2 linked regions of the Saccharomyces cerevisiae S288C genome follow. The protein of the gene in region 1 binds, or shares a complex with, the protein of each later gene. Each region holds a gene or a part of one and is shown on either strand. Other genes may lie near its edges. A codon is read from its position in the direction of its gene.

Region 1 (7,523 bases):
GACACTAAAGGAACCAAAGGCAGACGAAGATAAATGGAAATATTATGTAACATCGTATGCTCTGCCACATCCAACAGAAGGCATTCCGCACGAGAAACTGAAGATACCATTTTTGGAAAGGCTCATCGAATTTGGACAAGATATTGATGGAACAGAGGTAGATGAGGAGTTTTCCCCCGAAGGCATCTCTGTATCGACATTGAAAATTAAGATCCAGCCTATAACCTACCAACTGCATATTGAAAACGGGTCTTACGATGTTTTTACCCGTAAGGCTACTAACAAATATCCTACTATTGCTAATGATAATACTCAAAAAGGAATGGTTTCTCAGAAGAAGGAGTTGATATCAAAATTTCTAGACTGTGCAGTTGGTTTGAGAAATAATTTAGATGAGGCTCAAAAATTAAGTATGCAAAAAAAATGGGAGAACCTAAAAGACAGCATAGCAAAGACGAGTGCTGGAAACCAGGGAATAGAGAGTGAAACCGAAAAAGGTAAAATTACGAAACAGGAGCAGTCGGATAATTTGGACAGCTCTACTGCAAGTGTACTGCCTGCATCCATTACTACTGTACCACAAGATGATAATATAGAAACGACTGGGAATACTGAATCTTCAGACAAGGGGGCTAAGATTCAATAAGTAGTTTTAACTAGATTTAGAACAAAAATCTTTAGTACGACAGGGTCTTTCTTCTGATGTGTACCTTTAATTAATGTCAACGATATAACATTGTAATTTTAAAATTCTAAGTGTTTTTGAAGCTTTTTAAGACACATCGATCTTTCCATAAAGGAAGAAGTGATAACATGCAGTGGTTATATTTGTGTACTCATACACTGGTGCATGAATCTTTTTACACGTCATTAGCATAGTATGTAATCGAAAGGACACTATTTATAAGGGACAGTTTATACATACATATACTTGATATTCCCATGAATGAGTATTCTATTCCATATCAACATCCACTCCAAAATCGTCTAGTGATTCACCCCAGTCGTTGTACCACTTCTCACGAGAAGCATGTCTGCCATTTTGAGGAAGTCTGGTCCTTATTAGCTGTTCGCCACTTTCATTACGCATCTCTATTGTTGAGCTGCCATGATTGAAGACGGTGTTTGTTTTACCTCCATCTGGTGGCCAGGGAAGTGAAAGGATGTGGTCTTCCAATGAGGAGTTAGCCTCATATTTTGAAATACCGTTTTTTGGAAAATTGTTCCCATCTCCCGTAGGAACACCATATGGCCATAACCATAAATGAATGGGACCAAGGTACAGTAATGCATTAGTGTACAAATCAAAATCGTAAGGGAAATTTACAAGTTCATCAAAACGTGGCCTTTTTTTTGTCAAGTGTTCCTCAGCATCCTTTTTATTTTGAAACGACCTCGACTCTGGATATATTCTCCAAGTATTATCAATTAATTTCTGAGTTAATCTTCCGGAGTTGAACAAAGATTCTAGCCGATCCATATCCCACGACTCAATTTGAGATCTTCCATTCAAGATTTGATTGAATAAACATCGTAGGAAAAGAATTGTTATCGTTAGTAGGACAAAAGAATTTAAAGGACTCGATATTGTTAAGAAAATCAGTTCTGATTTTTTGAAGAAGTAGCCAGGCAAGTGCCTTTGTTGCCAAATAAAATATATCCGCTTAGCTTGTATGCAAAATAAAACACTAGTCGTCACTATGATCCAAAATAAGAATCTAAGGAAATGCGGATAGTTTGCAAAGCCGACGCAATTCATCGTCCACGGACAATGATGATCCATCATTAGGACGCATTGATTGCAGGTTTTACAATGATGTGAACGTTCTGGCTTATAACTTTGGCACTTCTTACAGAAATTCCGCCAGATATCAGGGGGTGGTTTGTAGTTGGGCAAAGGCCTTCCTGGATTTGTGCAGATGGCCAAGTAATAGGAGAGCCATATCATTGACAAACAGAACTCAAATGTTATTTGTTTCGGAACTGACAAGAAATTGGATAAAATAAAGTAGTGTGCACCATAGCCTATAAATGAAATCAGAAACGTTGGTATAGCAATTCCTAACCAAGGCCACCTTAACTTTACTGGCATGGTTTAACGATCAACTCAGTTTTTAAAATTCATGTTATACACCATCACCACAATGTAGGGACGATAATTATCGTATCTCAGATCCGCTATTTTTCATAAGCGCGTAGTAAGAGAGGTAGGTTTAACAGGATAATAAAAATATACATGAGACAGCCAATAAATAGTGGAAATAAGCCGTATTTTAAATTGAGAGCTCTTAGTAAGAAAAATGTTCCTCTGAGACGCTAAAGTCGTGTATATTTCATATGAGAAAGTGCACAAATCCTGCTTCCCTTCTATCTGGGAATTTCTTTTCTATATTTGAACATATTATTGTAAGGGCCTTTTTCTTTATTCTCTTCTCACATATAAGAACCATTTTATTATTTTAACTTTAAAACTACTTTCTATATAAATCCTACGTTTTTTCCAAATATCTAGGAGACAATCCCGTTCTCCATCTTTATATGGACTAACTCATAACTATTTAATAAACCTCTCAAGTGGCACAATGCCGCAATAACAACTAGAAAATGGAAAAGTTGGTGAGAATGACCCCAAATATCAAATTTACCGGGGCAAATCTTTTCAGGAAACCGCATTCCATAAAGAACAGCGCCAATTATATATAGGACACCCCCAAGTAATACCCAAAAGAGCTGAATTTGGGTCCAAATTTCTGAAAAACTATAGCAGTAAAGGCCGCTGAATATTGGAATAATTGAGGATAAACCAAAACAAACAAATAGCCCAGCTCTGTAAGGTCTCCACTCTCTTTTCCGAAACTTATCTTTTAGTGACACAATACTACACGCGATCCCAAAGCTAACGGTAATAAGCGCAAATAGGCAAAATAGGGAAAATTTCTCAAAATAGCCGTAGTACAAAATACTGACCATTGACGTAACAATCAATATACAAATACCAAGGTAGTCCAACTTATTTCCTAAGGTAGCAATTCTTAAGGAGTGACTCTTTAGACAATGAAAGGAGCTACTCAATATTAAACATGCAAACGCCCCCGAATAAAAGAGGTCGATTACCATATGATCTAGCCATGTAGTTGTTGCAAACACTTTGATAGTAGATTTATCTAGCAACAGTACAGTGAAGAACCCGAGAGCAGGAATTAAATGTGAATAAATATTGACACTTTCATTATGCAAATAAAACAAACTTTTAAAAGTTTCAATGAAGCTACTAGTTTCTTTCACGTATCCATGTAAAATAAAATCATTGTCTCTTTGCCATTCCGGAATTTCATCCCAACTATATAGCCTTCTTAGTACTTTTTTAGCTTTAGCGACCTCTGCGGGATTTGCGGATGTTTTCCCTGCAGCTCTCTTCTTCAGCTCTTGCACACTCTTAGTCCTTTCTAATAAAGTTGACATTTGGAATGATTCTTCTCCAACATGCAGCATAATTAAAACGACGGGAAATTTAGTACATTTGGCTCAAGGAACGCTGACATAAATACTATTTCTAATCTACTATTCGAAGAGATGTTGGATTTCTAAAAAAAAAAGAGCTCAACAACGGAAGACCGCCTATTAACCCCGAGTGTCTGTTTTTTAGTATACTCGAAGCAAACAAGAAAAGTTTGTTACTTAATTTCTGGCCTAAACAAGGTAGTGCTACCCTAGAGGAAGTACGATATCAGTACACTTTTGTATTTTTAACGAATTATGGTATTCTTTAAAATATTTAACATGCTATCGAGTTTTTCTTTCTAAAATGCGGTTTCAAAATTTGAGTCCGCTTTCTATGGAAAATATGAATGAGGCGAACGTGCTTGTACCATAGTCAGATTTTAACCCGTAGGTGAGAGCCTGAGGCTTCTGTAAACCACCTTGGAAACACATACGGGTTATAAGATTTTAACAAACAATCAGTCTCCATACTCATCCTAGGATCTCTTCTTCATTTGATGAATAAAGGATTCAAACTTCAGAAAGTTATTCAGCGTATATTGGCTTTCCTTTAATCTAATGCCCCAAGCCATCATAAATAGCCATATTACTTTGAAAGTGCTCATCCGTATACACTGCAACTTTTCTTCTTTTCTCTTTAGCCGATTATAGCTCCTACCTGTTTTTTTTTTCTTCTTAAGATTATTTATATTCCAATTTTATCATCCGTATTGTTTCCAATAGCGTTCCAGTGATCAGTTATATACTTCGAGAGGCAGATAACCTTTCTTTTTATAAGTGTTTATCAAATTTAAGTCTGCAAGCTATCATAAGACGAGGATATCCTTTGGAGACTCATAGAAATCATGGAAAGCACATCAGGAGAACGTTCCGAAAATATACATGAGGATCAAGGGATACCAAAAGTAATTCTGCCCGCTGATTTTAATAAATGCTCTAGAACTGACCTAGTGGTGCTCATATCACGAATGTTAGTATCGCTGATAGCAATCAATGAAAATTCAGCAACAAAGAAATCTGATGACCAAATTACTTTAACACGATACCATTCTAAGATTCCTCCAAACATATCAATCTTCAACTATTTCATACGACTGACAAAGTTTTCCTCTTTAGAACATTGTGTGCTTATGACATCACTCTATTATATCGATTTATTGCAAACTGTGTATCCTGATTTTACGCTTAATTCGTTGACTGCCCATAGGTTTTTATTAACAGCCACCACAGTCGCAACAAAAGGCTTATGTGATTCGTTCTCAACAAACGCCCATTATGCAAAAGTTGGAGGAGTACGATGTCACGAATTGAATATACTGGAGAACGATTTTTTAAAGAGAGTAAACTACAGAATCATTCCGCGGGATCATAACATTACGTTATGTAGTATAGAGCAAAAACAGAAAAAGTTTGTCATAGATAAAAACGCATTAGGGTCTCTCGATTTGGATTCTTATTCTTACGTTAATCGTCCAAAAAGTGGATATAATGTTCTAGATAAATACTATCGAAGAATAGTTCAGCTGGTGGGTTCCTTTAACGCTTCACCTGATAAGAGTAGAAAGGTTGATTATGTTCTCCCGCCAAATATTGATATAGTGAGTGAAAGTGGCTCCCAAACTACTCAACTAAAGGGGTCGTCATCACCCAATTCTCACTCTTCACAAAAGCGATATTCTGAGGCAAAGGACGCACATATCTATAACAAGCGATCAAAGCCAGATTAATGATTTTTCGTGGGGTATTATGAAAGCAATCATGATTGAGCAAAATTAAAACTTTCCATTTGTACATATATATATATATATATATATATATCTGTGTGTGTATAATAAGCAATTGGCCATCATTTGGCTAAAAAGTTCAAGATTTCAGGTAGTATATAAGAGAATAACTTCCCTCTTTTGCTAAAGAAGGATATGTTCTATTTCAGCCTTTTTGCATCATAAGAGCATAAGCGACAGAAAACACTTCGAGATGAGCTTGAGAACTCCATTTCAATTAACTTGATAAATACATGTAGATTCATATCATCACTGTTCTTTTCAGATACTAGTTTCAAAACTTCCTTGACAGAACCATTTCATGTTCAATAATGAAAATTACTTTCACATGTTTTAGTGGAAAAATACTGAACAATGAAATTTCAATATCGCATATAATAATTTTTGTTATCAAATATATATTTTTCGGAAGTCATATACATTAAATAATTAAAACATTATTTTTAAAAATTAAAAAAATATATTTTAGCAAATAGTTTTTACTTTTTTTTAAATGCAAAATAAGTTCACGTGATATTATTAATAATATTTTACCCAAAAATATGAGGGCATCGGAAAATTTTTCAGTAATGAATATTAATGTTCATCTGAAGATAGACGAAATAGGAACAACAAACAGCTTATAAGCACCCAATAAGTGCGTTATGACTTCTGAAAATCCGGATGTACTTTTATCTAGGGTGATAAATGTGGTGAGAGCAGCATCATCGTTAGCCAGTCAAGATGTAGACTTTTACAAGAATTTAGACAGGGGATTTAGTAAAGATCTGAAATCAAAAGCAGACAAACTTGCGGATATGGCGAATGAAATAATCCTCTCTATTGATGAGCATCATGAATCATTTGAACTTAAAGAAGAGGACATTTCTGACTTGTGGAACAACTTTGGAAACATCATGGATAATTTGTTAGAAATGTCAGACCATTCGCTGGATAAGCTGAATTGTGCAATAAACTCAAAGTCAAGAGGTTCCGATCTTCAGTATTTAGGCGAATTTTCAGGAAAGAATTTTTCTCCCACCAAAAGAGTCGAAAAACCTCAGTTGAAATTTAAAAGTCCAATTGATAACAGCGAAAGTCATCCGTTCATACCTTTATTGAAGGAAAAACCAAATGCTTTGAAGCCACTCTCTGAGAGTTTGAGGTTGGTTGATGATGATGAAAATAACCCCAGTCACTACCCCCATCCTTATGAATATGAGATTGATCATCAAGAGTATAGTCCAGAAATTCTCCAAATTAGAGAGGAGATTCCCTCAAAATCCTGGGATGATTCGGTACCAATTTGGGTAGATACAAGTACAGAACTCGAATCAATGTTGGAGGACTTGAAAAATACGAAAGAGATTGCCGTTGATCTTGAGCATCACGATTATAGGTCATACTATGGTATTGTTTGCCTCATGCAAATTAGTACAAGGGAAAGGGATTATTTAGTTGATACTCTAAAACTTCGCGAAAATTTACATATTCTGAACGAAGTGTTTACGAACCCTTCAATTGTGAAAGTTTTTCACGGTGCATTCATGGATATTATTTGGCTTCAGCGAGATTTAGGTTTGTATGTCGTTGGTCTCTTCGATACTTACCATGCGTCTAAAGCAATCGGTCTTCCTAGACATAGTTTGGCCTATCTTTTGGAGAATTTTGCCAATTTTAAAACTTCAAAGAAATATCAGTTGGCTGACTGGCGTATAAGACCGCTTTCAAAACCCATGACGGCATATGCTAGAGCAGATACTCACTTTTTACTAAATATATATGACCAGTTGAGAAACAAACTTATCGAGTCTAATAAGTTAGCAGGTGTTCTTTATGAATCAAGAAATGTCGCAAAAAGAAGGTTTGAATATTCAAAGTACAGACCACTGACACCTTCTTCAGAAGTTTATTCTCCAATCGAAAAAGAGAGTCCTTGGAAAATATTGATGTATCAGTACAACATACCACCTGAGAGGGAAGTATTAGTAAGAGAGCTATACCAATGGAGAGATCTTATTGCAAGAAGAGACGATGAATCGCCACGATTTGTTATGCCAAACCAGTTATTGGCTGCACTTGTCGCATATACACCTACTGATGTCATAGGTGTTGTTTCTTTGACCAATGGCGTAACTGAACATGTCCGCCAGAATGCAAAACTATTAGCTAATTTGATAAGAGATGCATTACGAAACATCAAGAACACCAATGAGGAAGCTACTCCCATTCCATCTTCCGAGACCAAAGCAGACGGAA
Region 2 (7,604 bases), on another chromosome or scaffold:
TTCATAAATTTTTATGGAAGAAATACGGGAAAGGATTGGTTTACTGTTATGGGTGTGATCCAACTGGAAAAAAGAGGCATACAGAGTGGTTCAATGTGCCTGTATTGGAGCTACCATCAGTACTAAGACTTATTGATTCTTATTGCCTTGGAGGAGAATCTCGTTAGACTTAAAAAAAATTTTTTGGCCTATTCTGGCCGGTTTATTCAAATTATTTATCATCATAAAAATTGTAGTGTTACCTTTCTTTTCCTTGAATTATTTATAGAAATATATGTGCTTAGCAATTTTATCACTGTTACTTCGATTTGTAGTACCCTTAAGTAAAAGAGCTTTTGAAACCAGTTATCAAAAGAATATCACCAATTGATCTTTTGCTTTCGAGAATTGTATCACCATATCTTCCCTCAAGTAGACAGTGGACGAGATGTTTCGAGATACTCGGGGAAAGTCTCTTCCAATGTGCTTCACTTTCAAAACTGGGTAAATATGCAATCAGCGTTTTTACATTCAAATTACTATCTTTCAATTTAAGCTCTGAGGTTATTCCATCGTGGAAAGAGTTTATACCACATTTCGATGTAATAAAATGTGTTCCTGATTTGCACGGTTTTAACGTCAATACCGATGATATGTTGACAATATAGAACCCCTTTGCTTTTTCTTGAGCTTCAGCTTGAACCTTTGGAAAAATGTTACTCAAGCAGAACTTAGTTATCAATATTACACTTTGTAAATTATACCTCACGATTTTCTCGAATTCATTTAAAGACTCTTCATCAAGTCTCAAAAATTTGTCTTCTTTGAGAAGAGTCGATTCGATTCCCTCCTGCATGTTGTTAATGAGCACTGTAGGAATTATTTCTAAATTTTGAAGGTAAAGCATGGATTCCTCAAGACATTTTATGTCACTGAAATCTTTGCAAGAAATAAAAGTATACAGTTTTTCACTTCTCCTTGCGTTTTTTCCATTAATACTGTCTATAGTGTCAATATTTATAACCTTTGTATGATAATCTTCTATAAATGTCTCGCAGAGCTCGATGCCTAACTCATTTGAAGAACCGCCAATAATTAATACTGTATCGTGGCTAGGATGGAACTTTTTACCTAAACCGACATATTGATAAAAACTTACGAGGACTTTGTAAATTGTTTTCTTCATGTCAGATTTTTGGGCTCTATTACTAGTGGACCTGTGCTTCGGACATACGCAGTTTTTCTGTGGTTTCTTTATACGTCACAAATCTGTATTATTATTGAGTCACTAATTCAAATGCGTGTGACAATATAGCGACGGGGCCGTGCAAAAATAAGAGATACTGCACTTGCGCGGCTGATAGAGATTTCTTTCTTTCTACGCTGGGATAGTTTTCTTAGAAGGTTTTAGCTATTCTAATTAAAATGTTGTTCCCACCAGTATTTATTGGCACCTTGGACAATTTTAAAAATCACTGCTAAAACGGTGCTATGACACGATTTTCTGGTACTAAAACGTGTTTTATGAAATTAACAGTATATACAAAAAGTAAAAGGTATGGATAGTTAAATATGTGTAAAGCTATAATACAAAGAAATAACACAAGATAGTTGAGTTTATTTGGTCAAACTAAAAAGAGGAAATAATTATAGTGAATAATTCCAGATTTTGTTAAACACCAATTCAAACAAACTGAAAACAGGGAGAAACCAACCCAAAAAATAAAATAGATTCAGTGATAACCCAATTCTACCGCAAAAAAAAACTAAAAAAATAAATAATAGAAAATTAACAGATACAAAAACGAAAAAACAAACTGTTTACAAAACATTTACATGCGTGTTCATTAAGCTGTCGAAGGATATTATTTCTTTGATTTATTTTTTTTTTTGAATAGGCCAAATCTCTTCTTCTTACCACCATTTTTCTCCTCATTGTCACCATTATCGGTACTAGGCGAAGCCATATTCGCCATTTGACTTGATGAGGACAAGGTTGGAGTGCTTGGGGCTGAAACAGAGGTTGTAGGAGGGGGTGCAATATTTTTGGGATCGTTTATATCCACAGTGCTACTTGTATTGTTGTTTGTATTTGTAAATTGCATTGCGTTATGAACTACCGAGTTGGTGGAAATATCAGGGTTGCTACTACTGTTATTAACTTTGTTGTTATTATTTGTAACTTCTATCATGGTACTGGAGCTAAATTGCCTTTGTGTGGGAACGTGATTGTTTAAACTAGGAGCAGGGACTTGGTTAAAAGTATTGTTTGGGTTGGTGGCATGTGGCATATTCAGTTTGTTTTTCGATTGTTGTGATCTCAATCTATTCTGGTTTACGATGCTATGCGTTGGCATGGAATTTAAGCGAGTTTGACTTGAATTGTTCGGTGGTCTGCCAAAATCACTCATATTTATACTGGAAGGATTACCAATATTAGGCATATTACTATTTCTATTCTTCCTACTTGTGGGCTTGATAGAGTGTGAGTGAAAAGGTTGTACTTGTACCGATTGTTGTGGCTGCTGTAGGGGTAAGGAAGGAGGTTGTTGCGGGTCATATGCAGCGATACTTGAAGAAATTGGGTCTACAAAATTTCCGGCGGATGCAGGTTGAGACATAGCGCCATTGGTGCCATGCATTCCTCTGCTGTTAGAACGAACGTTTGCAGACTGCTGTAATTGAGGGAAGGAAGGCTTTCTTGGAATTGAATTATTGCTATTATTAAATCTTTGTTGCTGTAATGCTCTTTTCTGGAACTCCAGTTCACGTTCTTGTAGCTCTAATTCCTTTTTACGGAGTTGCAATTCGCGTTCTTGTAGTAATTTGTCATTCGTGCCATTATTCTCTCCGAAAGTTTGTGAATGTGAGGATAATGGTGAGTTCATTTGTGGCTGAGAGCTTACAACAGGTGGTGGAGATCTCACTGGAGAGTCTCCGTAGTTTACACTATATAGTGCCATATCTTCGATGTCCCTCAAATTCGGAGTTCCTGTTGCTTTATATTCATTTGTATCGGATTGGTTTGTTGCTTCAGTTGGCGTTAGTGCTTCAATTGATGTTTGAGCTTGAGATTGGGCTTGAGCTTGGGCTTGGGCCTGGGCTTTTAGAGCGACTTGATGTTTCTCCTTTAACTCATTAGTTTCCATTTCATGTTGCTTGGCCTGCATAAGCAACTCTTGTCTTAGTTTACTAATTTGACCTTGTAAGGAGGTAATTTGAGTCTGTAAAGCAGATTCATTTTTTTGTGATTTTTGCAAGCTTTGTAAGATTTGAGTTTTTTCATCTGACCTAATAAACCATTTAGATTTGCCACTATTCAATCTTTCAAATTGGGACAAAACAGAGTATAAAAATTCTAAGTACGGAGTTTTGATACCAAAGTCATCGGCTAATAAAATAGTTTGTAACAACAGGATATCGATGTTCAAAGGCGTTGTTTGATGAATGAAATGATAAACCAATGCAGGTGGCTTATTGGTTGAATGATAAGAATTCTTCCATAGAGATAAAAGAGAGTTTTCATTATCATGACTACTGTTTAGTCTGGCTCCCATTGTTTTTGCTACAGTGATGATTTCAGTTACCAGACCTGATATTAAAGGTTTGGCAATGATCTGCTGGTCTAGATCACTTGGGTTTTCTTGTTCAAACATGATTAACAACGGATCAAAACAAATTCTGGAAATCGCCAGCTTCCATTGTTGTGATAGAAACTCAATTGATGAGAAATTGCACAAATTGATTTTTATGTTGGAAAACAATTTAGCAAACAGTTTTTCAAAAGTGGTTAATAATGTTATAACGCCTGATGAATATTTCTCAGTGCTGGACTTACTTTCGCCGAGGTAAATCGTGTTCTCCTTTGCAGTACTAGGAAAGTGTTTGAAATGGTTTGGACCGATTTGACGAATATCCAAATCAGTCAAAATACTGAAAACGTTTACATGCGGAGATTCCATCGATAATTTGACAAACGGTTCCAATTGGATGAAACCACTGCTTTCTAAGAAAATTTTGGTGTTCGAATCGATTATGGACGTTAACTTGGACGCTAACGAGGATAATTCCTGTAAAGATGGAGCACTCATGATGATTATGTCGAAGACGGCTTCACTTGATTTGGAGCTCAAAGCTTCAGTCAAGTGCTCGATAGAGGTGAAATGATTTTCCAATTCGAACCGGTCTTTGCCGTAGTATTCAGTTTCAATTTCAAATTGACATGATTTTGAATCGTTGACGTGGTAGAGGTCTATATTCTTGGCCAGTTGAAACCTTGAGGTGTAGAACAAGATATTCGGGTTGTTCCCAATAGCTAAAACTCGAAGTGAGGAAGACGACATAACTATAACGTGTGTGAGGGCGAGCAAAGCAATTAAACGAAATTGATCTTATTGGTGAGCGTCAGACTGCTGGAGTTGTGTGTTATAAAATGAAAGAAAAAAAAAAGGAAGTAAAACCAGGGAACGAACCGATAACTATTTCTCCCCTTTCTGTTTGTTCTTGGTTTTGCTTGCTTTGTTCTGATCAAGACCAAAAATAGCTGGGTGGCTACGAATAAGAAGGCCAAGATTAGAAGTGTGTTACTCTCACTAATTGACTGTTTAAAAATAAATAAACAAACAGGTTCAAAGAAACGAGAATAAACAAACAACGAACGCCAACGGAAAGAACCGACGTTGTGTTTGCGTTTACGTTCTGCTCTCTCACTTGACACAACACGAAGACCGAAAACAGCTTGGGAAGCATTCACCGATCGTTATTCGAGAGGTTTCCAGTTTCCTTTTTTTTTTTTTTCACTCGCGGTATAAACGAATGAAAAAAAATAAAAAATTTTCATGTTTTTCCGTTCCGGAAGACAAAGCCTGTCCGCCTTTAAGGCGGTAAAAGCCGTCGTAAAGGCTGTCGTAAGATGAGACTAAAGTAATAGTAGTGTATTATAGATGATTATTATCATTATATATACATGGCTACGGTTTTTCGCTGACGGGCTGCGTTATGAAGCGTGGTGGTAGTACTCTGCAAACCAAGGGTGATGCAGAGCCTGCTTGGCGCTCAGCCTCATATCCGGATTAAGTTGCAAGAGTCCGTGTAAGAAATCCATGAGATTCCCGTCTAGCGGTTCTTTGGTGTGTGGTTGCAATACTTGACGTAGGTCTCTTGGTGGTCGTTGCTGGATATTTGGGTTGTATTTGGGTAACTTTGTTACACTGGGCCATAGGGACTCATTAGGAGTGCCCATGATGTCGAAGATCAATTTCAGTTGTTCTTCGTCGTTGGTGCCAGGAAACAAAGGCTTACCCGTTATCATTTCCGCAAGAATGCACCCACACGACCATATATCAATGGATGTGGAGTACGTCCTAGAACCCATTAGCACATCAGGAGCACGGTACCACAACGTTACGACTTCGCTTGAAAATGTGTTGACCGGAATACCGAAAGCACGGGCCAGACCGAAATCACCCAATTTCAACTGGCCTCTCTTGTTGATTAATAGGTTTTGAGGTTTTAAATCACGGTGGAGAATCTTGTTTTCATGGCAAAAGGCCAGCCCTTGCAGTAGTTGCCACTGGAAGTATTTAACCAAGTTTAGTTCTAGCCCTCTTGGTGTGTTGCCCACGGTGCGGGAATCCATGTATTTCTTTAAATCGTTGTCCATGAATTCAAAAACCAAAGTCAACTTGTTCTCTGTGTGAATAACGTCATAAAGTCTAACAATGTTCTCATGTTTCAATTCTTTCATTAGGGAGATCTCACGGATGGCCGTAGAGGGTGTACCTTCCTCTGAATCCAGTTTTACCTCTTTCAGGGCAACATATACCCCTGTGGTTTTGTTCAGTCCCTTGTACACTGTGGCATACGTACCATTGCCAAGCTTTTCTAACTGCTTAAATCTGTTCATAGAGCTCGAGGTTGATTTTTTCTCGTATATATGTTAGTATTCATCATTTCTAGTTCTTTACTTTCCAATGATACTTGACTAGAAAACTACATACTGTGAAGAAGAAGACATTGGTATTGCTCAAGTTTGCCCAGTTTGCCGCGCTATATATCCCTTATCTGCAATTATACGCTATATGGTAAAACTGGATTCCCTTTGTTATCTTTCAATTAGAAAGCTACGGGCTTACGAGTCTACGTGTATGGTGATTTGTACGGAAAATGAACTGCACACAGAGGACAAGCAAAGGGTCTAGGATAGATAGAAGTAGCGCATCCGGCCTGTCTATCCCTCCGTGTCTATCAATTCATTTAACGTGTCTGGACGGACTATGGTAACTACTTTTTGCGTTTTTGCACCTTCTTCCTGTTTTTTTGGTTTTAGTAGTGCACTTATTCTTCACTTTTTTGCTCTGCATTGTTAAAAATTTCATTTTTTGCATTTTGGAAAACCCGATGACATTATTCTTTGAAATAAACCATATCATTTAGAAAATGCGATTTCCATTACGCAAGATAGACAACGCATTTGGTCCGATTATATTGCTATCTTGTGATACTTCTCCTTTCTCTCAACAATGACTGGCGACGGTAGTGCACATATTTCTAAAAACAATCAAAATCAACACAAAGATCGCTTCAAGTTTATTGTGAATGATAAAAGTATTCTAGGACCTCAATGGTTAAGCCTTTACCAAACGGATGGGAAAGTAACATTCGCAAAGTCCCACTTCGAGCAAGCAATGATGAACGTTATTAGAGAACCAAATATTAACTCTACTGTCATATTAAGAGCGGATATTTTGAAAGAGATCAATCATGCTGCAGAAGCTGGGTCTGAGCCAAAATTTGACGAGTCCGTATTAAAAAAGTTTGAGATCGATAATGGTAATGAAAGCGGTGAAGAAGATGTCAAGAAGATAAATATTGAAGATTTAAACATAAGGTCGTGTGAAACATCTGAGAGTTTAAAATTGTCACCCGTTCATGAATTTGTAAGAAGGATCATTCCTAGGAATTTTTACAAAGATGCTATCATAAACCAAACATGTTTAATCCTAAATAGCAAAGACCCTAATTTTCAGGAGACCTCATTGATTGTATATACGCCGCACATTAACTCTGAGAAAGACTGTCCGTTTTATATTCCAAGAACGCAAAGTGTAGGCATTTTGTTACACCAGTCAGTTCTTTCTGTACACTACATTCCCTTCCCCGAGGATAAAACTGCCTTTACAGATGAATCTGAGCGTGTTGTAAGAACCGCTTATAGGTTATTACAAACTGCTAACAAACACTCAAAGGGTGTGATGCAGGGTTATGAAAAGAGGGTCAATCACGATCAAGTGGTAAATAAAGTCAATTTTCAGAACACATACATTGTTTTGAAGAAAAAATACTCCAAGTTCCTGGTGGAGAATTGGGCAGAGTCTACAGACCCAAAAAAACATGTTTTTGAAGACATAGCCATTGCCGCTTTCCTGATTGAATTATGGATTAAAGTGTACGGTCCAGACTTCCGTTCAAAAATGCAATTTAGAGATTTGGGATGCGGCAATGGTGCTCTTTGTTATATTTTACTGAGTGAAAGTATTAAAGGTCTCGGCATAGATGCAAGGAAGCGCAAATCGTGGTCTATCTACCCGCCTGAAGTGCAATCATCGTTAAAGGAGCAAGTTATA

The links.
Region 2: the proteins of PHO80 (region 1) and PHO85 are in contact, whole or in part, in a crystal structure (PDB 2PK9), measured with the Saccharomyces cerevisiae proteins. Residues at the interface, in NP_014642.1 of Saccharomyces cerevisiae: Asn28 (codon at 4,428), Glu91 (codon at 4,617), Cys93 (codon at 4,623), Thr131 (codon at 4,737), Lys132 (codon at 4,740), Gly133 (codon at 4,743), Leu134 (codon at 4,746), Cys135 (codon at 4,749), Asp136 (codon at 4,752), Ser137 (codon at 4,755), Phe138 (codon at 4,758), Thr140 (codon at 4,764), Asn141 (codon at 4,767), Ala142 (codon at 4,770), Cys152 (codon at 4,800), Asn156 (codon at 4,812), Glu159 (codon at 4,821), Asn160 (codon at 4,824), Leu163 (codon at 4,833), Lys164 (codon at 4,836), Asn167 (codon at 4,845), Tyr168 (codon at 4,848), Arg169 (codon at 4,851), Ile170 (codon at 4,854), Ile171 (codon at 4,857), Pro172 (codon at 4,860), Arg173 (codon at 4,863), Glu183 (codon at 4,893), Tyr206 (codon at 4,962), Lys211 (codon at 4,977); in NP_015294.1 of Saccharomyces cerevisiae: Ser42 (codon at 5,770), Glu43 (codon at 5,767), Glu44 (codon at 5,764), Gly45 (codon at 5,761), Thr46 (codon at 5,758), Pro47 (codon at 5,755), Ser48 (codon at 5,752), Ile51 (codon at 5,743), Arg52 (codon at 5,740), Ile54 (codon at 5,734), Ser55 (codon at 5,731), Leu56 (codon at 5,728), Lys58 (codon at 5,722), Glu59 (codon at 5,719), Val71 (codon at 5,683), His73 (codon at 5,677), Leu78 (codon at 5,662), Glu126 (codon at 5,518), Asn127 (codon at 5,515), Lys128 (codon at 5,512), Ile129 (codon at 5,509), Arg132 (codon at 5,500), Arg156 (codon at 5,428), Ala157 (codon at 5,425), Gly159 (codon at 5,419), Ile160 (codon at 5,416), Pro161 (codon at 5,413), Val162 (codon at 5,410), Asn163 (codon at 5,407), Thr164 (codon at 5,404).

What each region holds. Positions count from the first base shown.
Region 1 is NC_001147.6:320,903-328,425, forward strand, and holds PHO80 (Pho80p), read left to right. Parts: upstream 1-4,346; coding exon 4,347-5,228; downstream 5,229-7,523. Other genes in the region: transcriptional regulator SIN3, read left to right, coding at 1-646; palmitoyltransferase PFA4, read right to left, coding at 956-2,092; IZH2 (PAQR-type receptor), read right to left, coding at 2,509-3,462; exosome nuclease subunit RRP6, read left to right, coding at 5,930-7,523. UniProt on the Saccharomyces cerevisiae protein: Cyclin partner of the cyclin-dependent kinase (CDK) PHO85. Negatively regulates the expression of phosphate-starvation-responsive genes under phosphate-rich conditions.
Region 2 is NC_001148.4:487,043-494,646, forward strand, and holds PHO85 (cyclin-dependent serine/threonine-protein kinase PHO85), read right to left. Parts: upstream 5,996-7,604; coding exon 5,979-5,995; intron 5,877-5,978; coding exon 4,976-5,876; downstream 1-4,975. Other genes in the region: YPL034W (uncharacterized protein), read left to right, coding at 1-167; SRL4 (Srl4p), read right to left, coding at 320-1,165; SVL3 (Svl3p), read right to left, coding at 1,845-4,322; TRM44 (tRNA (uracil) methyltransferase), read left to right, coding at 6,501-7,604.